2 linked regions of the Caenorhabditis elegans genome follow. The protein of the gene in region 1 purifies or fractionates together with the protein of each later gene. This does not show direct contact. Each region holds a gene or a part of one and is shown on either strand. Other genes may lie near its edges.

Region 1 (6,341 bases):
AGTAATTGCCACTTTTTTGCAGTTAATAAAAAACTTTCAGAAATTTTTTGAAACGTTTTATTGTGATATGCAGCCAATGTTCCAAAAAGTACACTGAAAAAAATTAAAAAAAAAAGACATTTTTGGCAACTTACCAAAACTTTTGCTGAAACTTTAACAATCTGAAAATTTTTGGACAGTTTCATTTTGATATTCGGTCAAATTGAACTATTGAATTCATACTGAATCCCCACTGACGATTCATTCTTTAAAAAATTAATTTGGAAGAAACCCCAAAATAACAGCTTCAAGTTGACTCCCAAACCTTATGTTATTTCAGATTCTCGATCTCTCTACTCTCAGCAAAAGCGAAAACTGCGGTTGCCAGAGTCAACGGGAACCACGAAAGTGTGTCATTCTCTGATTCGACAATCAGGCTGAGGTCCAGTCTCAATGACAGATATTGTAAGAATCTTCACGATCCTTGTACTCTCCCACCGTCATACAAGAGCATTACTTTCGTATAGTCTTACAGGTCCAGCAAGTGATGTCGTAGCGGATAACATCACGGTTATCCGGCCAGAACCGCTGCCCAAGACAACGACTAGGCCTGCCAACGTTTGGAGGTCACGATGCAAGCGCGCCCCACCGGACGGCGCGCGGATCTGAATTGCCGGCGCCAACTCTAATTGTCATCATTCTCGACTTTTCTTGGCCCCGCCCAATTCCCCTATATAAGGAGCCGGAAACGCTCATTCTAGGTCTTCTCTAATTCCTTTTACTTGTGTTACTTATCGTCCTTTTCCCCTCCTTACATGTCCCATTAACTCGGTGATTTCTCTATTAATTTATCCTTAATAAACCGTAATAACCTCAAAACCTCCAACTCTTATTATTCTTTAAAGAATTAATTTGGAAGAAACCCCAAAATAACAGCTTCAAGTTGACTCCCAAACCTTATGTTATTTCAGATTCTCGATCTCGCTACTCTCAGCAAAAGCGAAAACTGCGGTTGCCAGAGTCAACGGGAACCACGAAAGTTTGACATTCTCTGATTCGACAATCAGGCTGAGGTCCAGTCTCAATGACAGATATTTATTCATATTTAAAGAAAATCCACCGAGGGTGGTAGCTAGAAGGAATATGCGAGGATCTGAAGACGAAATCGAGATTCCTCACCTCACACTTATCAAGTTCCTGGACCACATCCACGAGGTTTTGCATCAGAACCGGCAAATCCACATTAACCTCGAAAATGGGATGAATGAAGAGATAAAAACGATTTGTTCTCTCTTTGAGAACAGGAAGATCGCGAGCTGCAGCACCACATCCACGGAAGTTCAGGGGCACCATCTCTTCGGGACTCATCCAGAGAACCTGGAGATTGTCGTGGTCCCAATAAGAAAAGAACTCTTGGTTCAAAATTATGAGGAGCTGAAAGTCACCAATCTCACACTGAACGAGGTGTTCTTGTCAAATAGTCGAACGCTTCGTTCATTGCACCACTCAATGACTGCAAAGGATGTCAACTTGTTCTTGAAGATCTGGATTCAGAACTCACAGCTGAGAATCAGTGATCTTGTTGTAGATGGTCTGAATATTGAGCATCCTGTACATGGAACTATTCTCCGCGGAATAGACTTTACTAGATACGAAGATCCTCTGGTCGTGGATGATGGAATGGTTCAACACGTCCAAATTGTGTGCAAAAGAGGGATCAAGGCAAAGGTTTCCCTCACCAGAACTACTGTTCGATTCGTCCGGCTGGCCGACGATGAGTAAGCAGCGACTTTTGATCATCTTTCACTGCAAATGCCTTCAAATACCTGTGCAATTATTTTTTTCGGTTGAGCTATATGGTTAAATGGTTGAGGTGATGAAATAAATATGTTCTTGTATTTTAAATTATGCAATAAAATGGCTCAAGAAATCGAATTACACAACCGTAAAAATGGAAGTAGAGGGGGGACATTGGGATAAAACATGACTGAATAAATGAAAATTTCGGGTTAGAATGCTTGTAGAAATGCACCGGATGGGGAATCACATAAATTATTTAAAGTTCTCCAGTGGCGCGGGCCTTGTAGTGCTGGAAGACACGATAGAGGGTGTGGCTCAGGTTGTTCCAGTAGTTGTAGGCCTGCTTCATGTAGAATTGAATGACCGAGAGTGGCTCGCCGAGTGAGATTCCAGAGGTGACGTGGACGGTGGAGGAGAGTGGGAGGAAGCCGCGACCTGAAAAATATAAAAATTCATTAGAAACGAGGGGATTTTTATATGGGTCTGGTTGACTACAAACTACAAAATTATATTTAGCAGACCAAGCGATTTCAGTTCGAAATTGGTCTGCTAGACTACAAACTACAAAATTATATTTAGCAGACCCAAGTGATTTCAATTCGAAATTGGTCTGCTAGACTACAAACTACAAAACTGTATTTAGCAGACCATGCGATTTCAGTTCGAAATTGGTCTGCTAGACTACAAACTACAAAATTATATTTAGCAGACCAAGTGATTTGATTTCGAAATTGGTCTGCTAGACTACAAACTACAAAATTATATTTAGCAGACCCAGGTGATTTTAATTCGAAATTGGTCTGCCAGACTCAAAAAAAAACGAATTTTCCTTGATTTTCGGTGTAATTTACCGTAGCACGCGACGTAGGTGTCCTTCTCGAAGCTGTACACGTGGGACTCGAACTGTCCGTGCCTGAAAGCGGCTCCCGAAGCAAAGTTCTCCGACGTCTCGTCCTGAGTTCCGTCATTGAATCGGCTGACTTTTCCTTTCAACACGGTGCACGTCGTATTTGCCCAATGGAGCCCCGGGCGTCCTGAAGTTGGGAACGGAGCGGAGAAGGCGGCGGCGAACTCGGTGAAAGCGGTCAGCATTGGGTACATCTGGAAAATTCATTAAATTTAAGATTTTTTTTCGATTTTTCCTGTTCCTCACCCTTAAAGTGAGGCCTCCCAACTGAATAGCGTGCCATTCGAAGTGACTTGGCATGATTGGCTCGTAATAAGTGCGCATTCCAGACGTCAATGTGGAAATTGACTGGGAGATTGTTGGAGCAGCTGAAAATATACAATATATTAAAATTGCGGTATTTTCGCAGAAAAATATGTTTTTCCTCACCAGCAGCCTTTCCAGCGATAGTCTTGAACTGCTTCGGCGAGATGTCATAAGACTTCCAGCGGAGGCCAAATTGAGCAGCCTGGAAGACTGCGTAGAAGAGCAGAAGATACCGAAGCTTTGAGGTGAGAAGAGCCATTTTCACGTGTTGAACTACCCTGAAAACATGGAAATTTGGAAATTTTGCGTGAAAAAAAAAGGAAATACAGTCATTTCGCGAGTTTTCAAGAGGGACAGCGAGTGCGAAGAAGAAAAATTGTGAGTTTAACATTGATTTTTTGAAATTTCAGATGTTTTTTCGCGGAAAAATCAATGGAAATGCTTGAAAAATGCAAGAAATGGCGCTGCAGCGCGCTGAAAATTAAAAAAATCAGCGAAAAAGGAATTGTGTGCAAACACCGTGACGCAGAAGCACACAGAAAACACCATATCTGACGCGCATTGCCACAGAAGGACCGAGAAGAAAAACAAAAGTCATTTTTCGCCTTTCTCATGTTATTTTCGGGGTTTCCTTCGATTTTTTCCACTTTTAGAAGTCTAAATTTAATTCTACAGGCTTTTAAAAATCAATTTGTCGGAGTTTTGGGCCAAAAAAAAGGCCGAAATCCGCTAGAAAACGTAGTATTTCTATTTGAGAAATTTTGAAGAAATTTCTCGAAAATTGCTCAGCAAATAGTTAATTCCACGTAAATCCTTTGAAACATCATTATAATGCCACGTTTTCTTCATGAAATTTCTGTTTTCGTAATTTCACGCGGATTATCCTCGTTGTCGTGGCAACCGAGTCGGAATTTTCCAGCGATTATCAGTTTTCTCTCGCTTTTCCTGCTAATTCCTTATTTTCCACTCAATTTTCTCGATTTTCAGCTCAAAAATGCCAATCGACTACTCCAAATGGAAGGATATCGAGGTTTCCGACGACGAGGACGACACTCACCCGAACATTGACACTCCGTCGCTCTTCAGATGGCGCCATCAAGCTCGTTTGGAGCGAATGGCCGAGAAGAAGATGGAACAGGAGAAAATCGATAAGGAAAAGGGCACGACGAGCAAGAAGATGGAGGAGCTCGAGAAGAAGCTTGCCGCAGCCGATGTCACTGACAAGTCGGATATTCAGAAGCAAATCGACGAGGTGAAGGCGCAAGAAGAAGCCTGGCGCAAGAAGGAGGCCGAACTCGAGGAGAAAGAGCGTCTGGAGCCATGGAACGTCGACACGATCGGTCATGAGGCGTTCAGCACGTCGAGGATCAATAAGGTTTTGAAGATTTTTCTGTGCAAATTGATTAATTCTGTAATTTCAGATCACCGAGAAGAAGCCGCAAGCTCCCAAAACCGATGAGGAGGACACTCATGCGATGAGCACTTTCTTCGAGACTCACGAGAGCCTTCTGGAGAAGATGGCCGTGCTCAAGAACGGAGCCAAGTCGACGGAGCTGTTCCTGGCCGAGCATCCGCATATGGCGTCGGAGTACACTGCAAATTGGCTCACAATTGAGGCTCTCAACGCCGCCATCGATTTTAATGAGGAGAAAATGAAGACGATGGCTGAGCAATGCATCATCATTCAATATCTTCTGGAGCTCTCGAAATCGCTGAACGCAGTCGCCACGAATACCACCGTCCAGAAGCAATTCTTCAAGAAGTTCGAAGCCGCCGAGCCGGTCTACATGAAGCACTATCAGGATGAGGTGAAGGCGTTCGAGGATCGTCTCAGAACACGTGCGCAGACGAAGAGAGACGCCGCGATGGAGGAGGCTGAAGCCGAGGAGAAAGCCGAACGAATGAAGAGTGCTCCGGGAGGAATCGATCCACAGGAAGTGTTCGAGCAGCTGCCGGAGGAGATGAGAAAGTGCTTTGAGGCACATGATATCGAGGCGTTGAAGGGTGTCGCCCAGAAAATGGATGAAGAGGTGAATATTTGGGTCTGCTAAATTGAAATTTGTAGTTTGTAGTCTAGCAGACCAAGTTTCTTCCAAATGGCATTGGTCTGCTAAATCGGAATTTGTAGTTTGTAGTCTAGCAGACCAAGGTTCTTCAAAATGGCATTGGTCTGCTAAATCGAAATGTGTAGTTTGTAGACTAGCAGACCCAAAGTTTTCAATTTTCGCAATGAAAATTGCAAAAATTGATAAATTTTCAATTTTTCAGCGGAAAAATGAATATTTTTCAAATAGAAATTAGCAAAAATTCAGGTTTTTTGCGATTTTTAGTGGAAAATTGTGCGATTTTTGTGTTTTAAGACAAAAGTGCGTATTTTAATATAAAATCCTGAAAAAATCTGAACTTTCGGGGGAAAATTGATCTATTTTCAAATTTTTGAGTGAATTAACATTGTATTCCAAAAAAAAACGAATCAAAAATCAAAATTTTAAGCTGAAAACAGGCATTTTTTAATTTTGGTCTGCTAAATCGAGTTTTGTAGTTTGTAGTCTAGCAGACCAAATTTCTTCAAAACCACCTATGGTCTGCTAAATCGAAATTAGTAGTTTGTAGGCTATTATTTTTAGCCAAATTCATCTAATTTCAACATCCAAAAATCCAAATTTTCAGGTCTTCAAGTACCATTTCGATCGATGCATCGCCTCTGGACTCTGGGTGCCCGGAAAAGCTGACGACGACGACGACGATGAGGAAGCTGCTCCAGCCGAGGAAGAGCCAACAACCAGCTCCTAAATTTCCCCATTATTCCCCGTTTGAAAGTTCCCCTGATCTACTTGTTTTTTCTGCACCGCACTTTACTTTTTCCCCAAGATTCACTGAAAATGGCCCAATTATTTCTTTATTTATTCTACACCCCCCACGACATTTACTGTTTATTTTCCCTCTCGAACACCTGTAAAAAAGTTTTTTTTTGCTTCGAGAATCGTTCCACTTCGTATTCAAAAATTCCAATTCGGAATAGCATAAAGATTATCATCATCAACTTTCTTCTTATTGTGTTTATTCGTTTTTTTTTCTCACGATTTTTTGAAAGTGATGTTTTGTAAGCAAACGTTAGTCTCCGCCTGACAACTATAAAGTTCAATAATGGATGTATTATCGGTCATTTTTTGGCTGAAAATGGTAAATTCGCGGCTTATTCTACTAGTTTTTGTCCCATTTTCCTTGGCACAATTGAGCTTGTATGGAAGTGAGTCTAGGATGGGTCTGCTAGCCTACAAACTTCAAATTTTGATTTAGCAGACCCAATAACGTGCCATTTCGGCGTGATCTACGTAGATCTACAAAA
Region 2 (4,659 bases), 6.4 Mb from region 1:
CTTGGGTTTTTAGCCCCCTTCTTTTCTCACCTCCATTGTCTACATCATAAAGACCAAAAGGATATTCTACGTCAATAGGAATTGTCAGAATTATCAGTTTTGATATCAAAAATTGCCAGCTTTAGTACAGTAGAATAACTATGCGATTCATGCTGCTTATTATTTATTCAAAATTTAAATTTTAACCAACTGTGAGTTTATTTTATAGAACATTTTTCGAAATAAAATTCAAAAAAATAAAAATTGTTATTTTTCAAAATCTTAATCTTAATTTAGCACCATTACCGACAGGCAATGATAGAACACCAAACCGGACTGACCAAGTGTCGTACCAGTTTCGAGCAATCAAGTATTGAGAGACTGATATTCTTGCTGATACTATACTCTTAAGATATGAAACGATATCTACCCCTCTAGCCCCCTACTCGTGCGCCCTCAGTTACCTACCTACCCCGTTACCTACCCTACCCTACCTACCTACTCAGTCTCCTACCTACCCCGACCGTATCATATCTTTAGAATATAGTATCAACAAGAATACCAATCACCCAACCCCAATCACTCGAAACCGTTAGGCACCAGGTTAGCCAGTCTGGATTAATCGAGAGTAAACCACTTGACTCCAGACAACTACATCTTATACTTACTTACGTCTGGGGGACAATCTTGGGATTCTCAAGATGACTTCCATTACGAAGTCTCTTGCAATAACCAATTACCACAATTTTGGAGCAGAATTAAACTCACCCACCAGTACAGGATCAAAGATGAATAATGAATGAGAGGCCCTCCTCTCATTGTTGTGGGCGGGGTCAAGGGGTCAAAGTTTTTTGAATTTCGAAATTTTGAAATTTTGGAATTGTTAAATTTTTGGAAATCTAATTTTTGAAAGAACCACATTTTCCGTTTACAATTTGAGTTCAATTCCGCAACCCCGTCAAATTTAAGAAGAGAAAGAAAAAAAACACAACGTGTTTGCACCTGTAAGGTAGTTTTTTTTTGTTGCCTTCGGCGTTTTGATTCACATGAAAGTTTCTACGGAAAAACTTTCATTGCATAACGATCTTCATATCTTGTTTCTGGAAACGAAAATTTCCAACATGAAAGAAACCCGACGCTATTTATTCTCGCAACACAAAAATTTCACATTTAAATAACCGCGGTTTTTCTCGAACAGCATATTTGACGCGCATTGCTCGTCAAGTTTGATGCGTGCACACTATTTTGCTGTTGTTTTTTTCTTTTTTCTCTAAATTTTCTTTACGCTTTCGTAGTTTCTATAGAAACGATTCTCCACTCCCGGTTTTCTTCCGATTCTCAAAATTAATTAAAATTTAGTTATTAAAAATCCTTTTTCTTGAAATAATCGTTCAATTTCGAGTTTTCAAGAGTGGAGACGTTGAATTTGTGAGCCGCTTATTTTTTCTGTGTTTTTGTTTTGTGGTTTTTAATCAGTGTCATAATCATACTTTCCATTGTTTCTTTATTATTCAAAGTTGTAGATTCAGTATTTTAGATCGGTGATGTTTATGAATCTTCTCACTCAGGTCTCCAACGCGATTTTTCCGCAGGTCAGTGCTTATCCGAAACATTCGTCATTCGCAACTTGGGCCTATTTGATCTATGGCGTTGTGTTGTTGCCTTTACCTTAATTATCATCATTTTCATCAGAAACCCACAAAAACTAGAGACATAGCTACAAAATTCTGCGACCGAGAGGCGGGTACACACACAATGTTGTCTATTTCATCTCGCTCCACCTTCTCTCTCTCTCTCTCGTGTTTACCATTTCTTTTTTAATTTTGCATCTATCGACTGTGATCTGCCTGTTTTTTTCTAATTCTAAACTTTTTGCCGTGATATTCCTTAGAGTGTTCCCTAGAAAATTCGTTGAATTTACAGGTCGAAGCCGCTCAAAAAATGTCGAACCGTGCTGTCGCTGTTCTTCGTGGAGAAACTGTTACCGGTACTATCTGGATCACACAGGTTAGCCGAGTTTTCCGCTTAAATCATTTGTATTCTTTTTCAGAAGTCCGAAAATGACCAGGCAGTTATTGAAGGAGAAATCAAGGGACTTACTCCCGGTCTTCATGGATTCCACGTTCACCAATATGGTGATTCCACCAACGGATGCATTTCTGCCGGTCCACACTTCAATCCATTTGGAAAGACTCATGGTGGACCAAAAGTATGGAAATTTTTTATATCGCTTGAATTATAATATTTTTTCAGTCCGAGATCCGTCACGTAGGCGATCTAGGAAATGTGGAAGCTGGAGCCGATGGAGTGGCAAAAATCAAGCTCACCGACACGCTCGTCACGCTTTACGGTCCAAACACTGTCGTTGGCCGATCTATGGTTGTTCATGCCGGACAAGACGACCTCGGTATGAACAATTCGAATTAAAAATCAATTTAGTAAACTTTCCAGGCGAGGGAGTCGGAGACAAGGCAGAAGAGTCCAAGAAGACTGGAAACGCCGGAGCTCGTGCTGCCTGCGGTGTCATTGCTCTCGCTGCTCCCCAGTGACTACCTGAATCGCGTCTCTGAATCTCCACACAATTCCTACTAAAGACAATTTTTCATTTCTTGCTTTGTCGTTATATTCTTAAGAATCCCGTTGTTCCTACTCCTACTACTGTATATTTTCACATAAAATTTCTTCAAAATTTCAAATAAAGGTTGTAGTTTCCAATTTCTATGTTTTACAAATCTCAATGTCTCTGCTCATTATATCAATACTTCACTTTTCAGTTTTGTTACCAAACTGCCATAAATGTTGTGCCAGCCGTTAAACTATCAACAAGTTCTGACGGAGAAGGGCGATTTTTCGAGCAGTTGAATAAGAATCACCTGATAATGAGGCTATTTCAAAAAACGTTTAAATATTATCGCTTTTCCCTTATTTAAGGCAGACAAAAATCTTTGAAAATATAATAATTTCTATTTTTTAATGCATTTAGTAAATTTTATTTCGAGGTCGTTCGTTTCAATTGGCATTTTCACAATGCTTCTCTTCTTTTTTTATCAGTTCAATTGATAGCGACCCGTAAAAGAAAATCACACCATTTTTATAATAGTGGACTGCAAAAAATTCGTTTCTTTCTGAATAGAGCCAGTTTTTGTGAAAATTCCTTTTTTTCAGTTTATATAAAACCTCAATTTTCAGAATGAGTGGGATTCTGGAGGTTTATGACGCAAAGCGTACGGACAATCTCATCATCACCCTCGAGGGAATTTCTGGATCCGAAACGATCAAAGCTATCAAGAAGCGAATTGCCCAGAAAAGTTTGTGAATCGAAATTTATGATTTATTAGCTAAATAATTTCAGAGCTGAAACTCACCGAAGAACGTCAGGCTCTCCGTGTCGAACCAAAGGGTAAACCATTGGCTGATGACCAAAAACTCTCCGATCTTGGACTTTCATCTCAAAAAGCAGTTTTATATGTAAGAGATCTCGGACCACAAATCGCCTGGAAGACTGTCTTCATGGCTGAGTATGCTGGACCTTTGTTCGTTTATCCGCTTTTCTATCTTCGACCAACTTTCATTTATGGACAAGGTGAGCCGGATTAATATTATTTCACACAATATCTTACATTACAGCCGCTGTCAATGCTACCATGCATCCAGCAGTACAAATCGCCTTCTTTGCATGGAGCTTCCACTACGCCAAGAGATTGTTCGAAACTCAATTCATCCATAGATTCGGAAACTCGACTATGCCACAGTTCAATTTAGTCAAGGCATGTTTCAAAAATAAAAATAAAAACAATTGAGTAAAAAGTAATAAGGGACACTAATAGTAAGTTGCAAAAGTTGCGTTGATGAAAAAATTATTTTACGCTCTACGGCAATTTTCAATCTGAAATATAGCAACAAAAAAAAACTAGTAAAAACGTTGAATATGCCTAAAATTCAAAGTTAGAATATTTCGTACAACTTTAGGTAGTTTTAGTAGAGAATTTTGAAACGGACAAGATTAAAAATAAAATTCACTAATCGATAAACAAATTTCTATTTCCTGAATTTTCAGAACTGCTCCTATTACTGGGGATTCGCTGCCTTCGTCGCCTACTTTGTCAATCACCCACTTTTCACACCACCAGCTTTCGGAGATCTTCAGGTTTATTTCGGACTTGCCGGTTTCGTGATTTCGGAGTTTGGAAATCTCTCGATCCACATTCTTCTCCGCAACCTCCGTCCAGCTGGAACCCGCGAACGTCGTATTCCAAAGCCTGATGGAAATCCACTTTCTCTCCTCTTCAACTACGTTTCGTGCCCGAACTACACATATGAGGTCGCATCATGGATCTTCTTCTCCATTATGGTCCAATCTCTTCCAGGTAAATAAAAAACTTGTAAATATAATTGATTTTATTCATAATCTTAAAATTTAGCAATCATCTTCACCACCGCTGGATTCGCTCAAATGGCAATCTGGGCCCAAGGAAAGCACCGCAACTACCTCAAGGAGTTCCCAGATTACCCAAAAAATCGCAAGGCCATCGTTCCATTTGTTCTCTAAATTATCGCATTTGCGCCGAATATTTATTGTATTTTTCATGTACTCTTGCAGTTCTATTATTACCAATCCGCTTATTTCAATCAGTAATTTATTAAATAGACAATTTCTCCAGATAAATGTTTGCTTGAAAA

Evidence for each region.
Region 2: the proteins of W08F4.3 (region 1) and sod-1 fractionate together in Caenorhabditis elegans (co-fractionation; one large-scale study listed by BioGRID). This does not show direct contact.

Annotation. Positions count from the first base shown.
Region 1 is NC_003280.10:577,531-583,871, reverse strand, and holds W08F4.3 (Sigma non-opioid intracellular receptor 1), read right to left. Parts: upstream 3,271-6,341; 5' UTR 3,252-3,270; coding exon 3,116-3,251; intron 3,055-3,115; coding exon 2,933-3,054; intron 2,881-2,932; coding exon 2,631-2,880; intron 2,385-2,630; exon of another isoform or gene 2,318-2,384; intron 2,215-2,317; coding exon 2,036-2,214; 3' UTR 1,858-2,035; downstream 1-1,857. Other genes in the region: W08F4.12 (F-box domain-containing protein), read left to right, coding at 320-444, 515-648; fbxb-14 (F-box associated domain-containing protein), read left to right, coding at 1,123-1,761; cdc-37 (Hsp90 chaperone protein kinase-targeting subunit), read left to right, coding at 3,279-3,370, 3,980-4,367, 4,414-5,022, 5,663-5,785; W08F4.7 (CW domain-containing protein), read left to right, coding at 6,140-6,242.
Region 2 is NC_003280.10:6,970,745-6,975,403, reverse strand, and holds sod-1 (Superoxide dismutase [Cu-Zn]), read left to right. Parts: upstream 1-1,516; 5' UTR 1,517-1,523; coding exon 1,524-1,571; intron 1,572-1,902; coding exon 1,903-1,986; intron 1,987-2,029; coding exon 2,030-2,188; intron 2,189-2,232; coding exon 2,233-2,386; intron 2,387-2,430; coding exon 2,431-2,528; 3' UTR 2,529-2,698; downstream 2,699-4,659. Other genes in the region: putative very-long-chain enoyl-CoA reductase art-1, read left to right, coding at 3,170-3,287, 3,332-3,562, 3,607-3,746, 4,037-4,346, 4,401-4,528. UniProt on the Caenorhabditis elegans protein: Protects cells against oxidative stress by converting superoxide radicals to hydrogen peroxide. Required for normal brood size. May be involved in regulating mpk-1 phosphorylation downstream of phosphatase ptp-2 during oocyte maturation.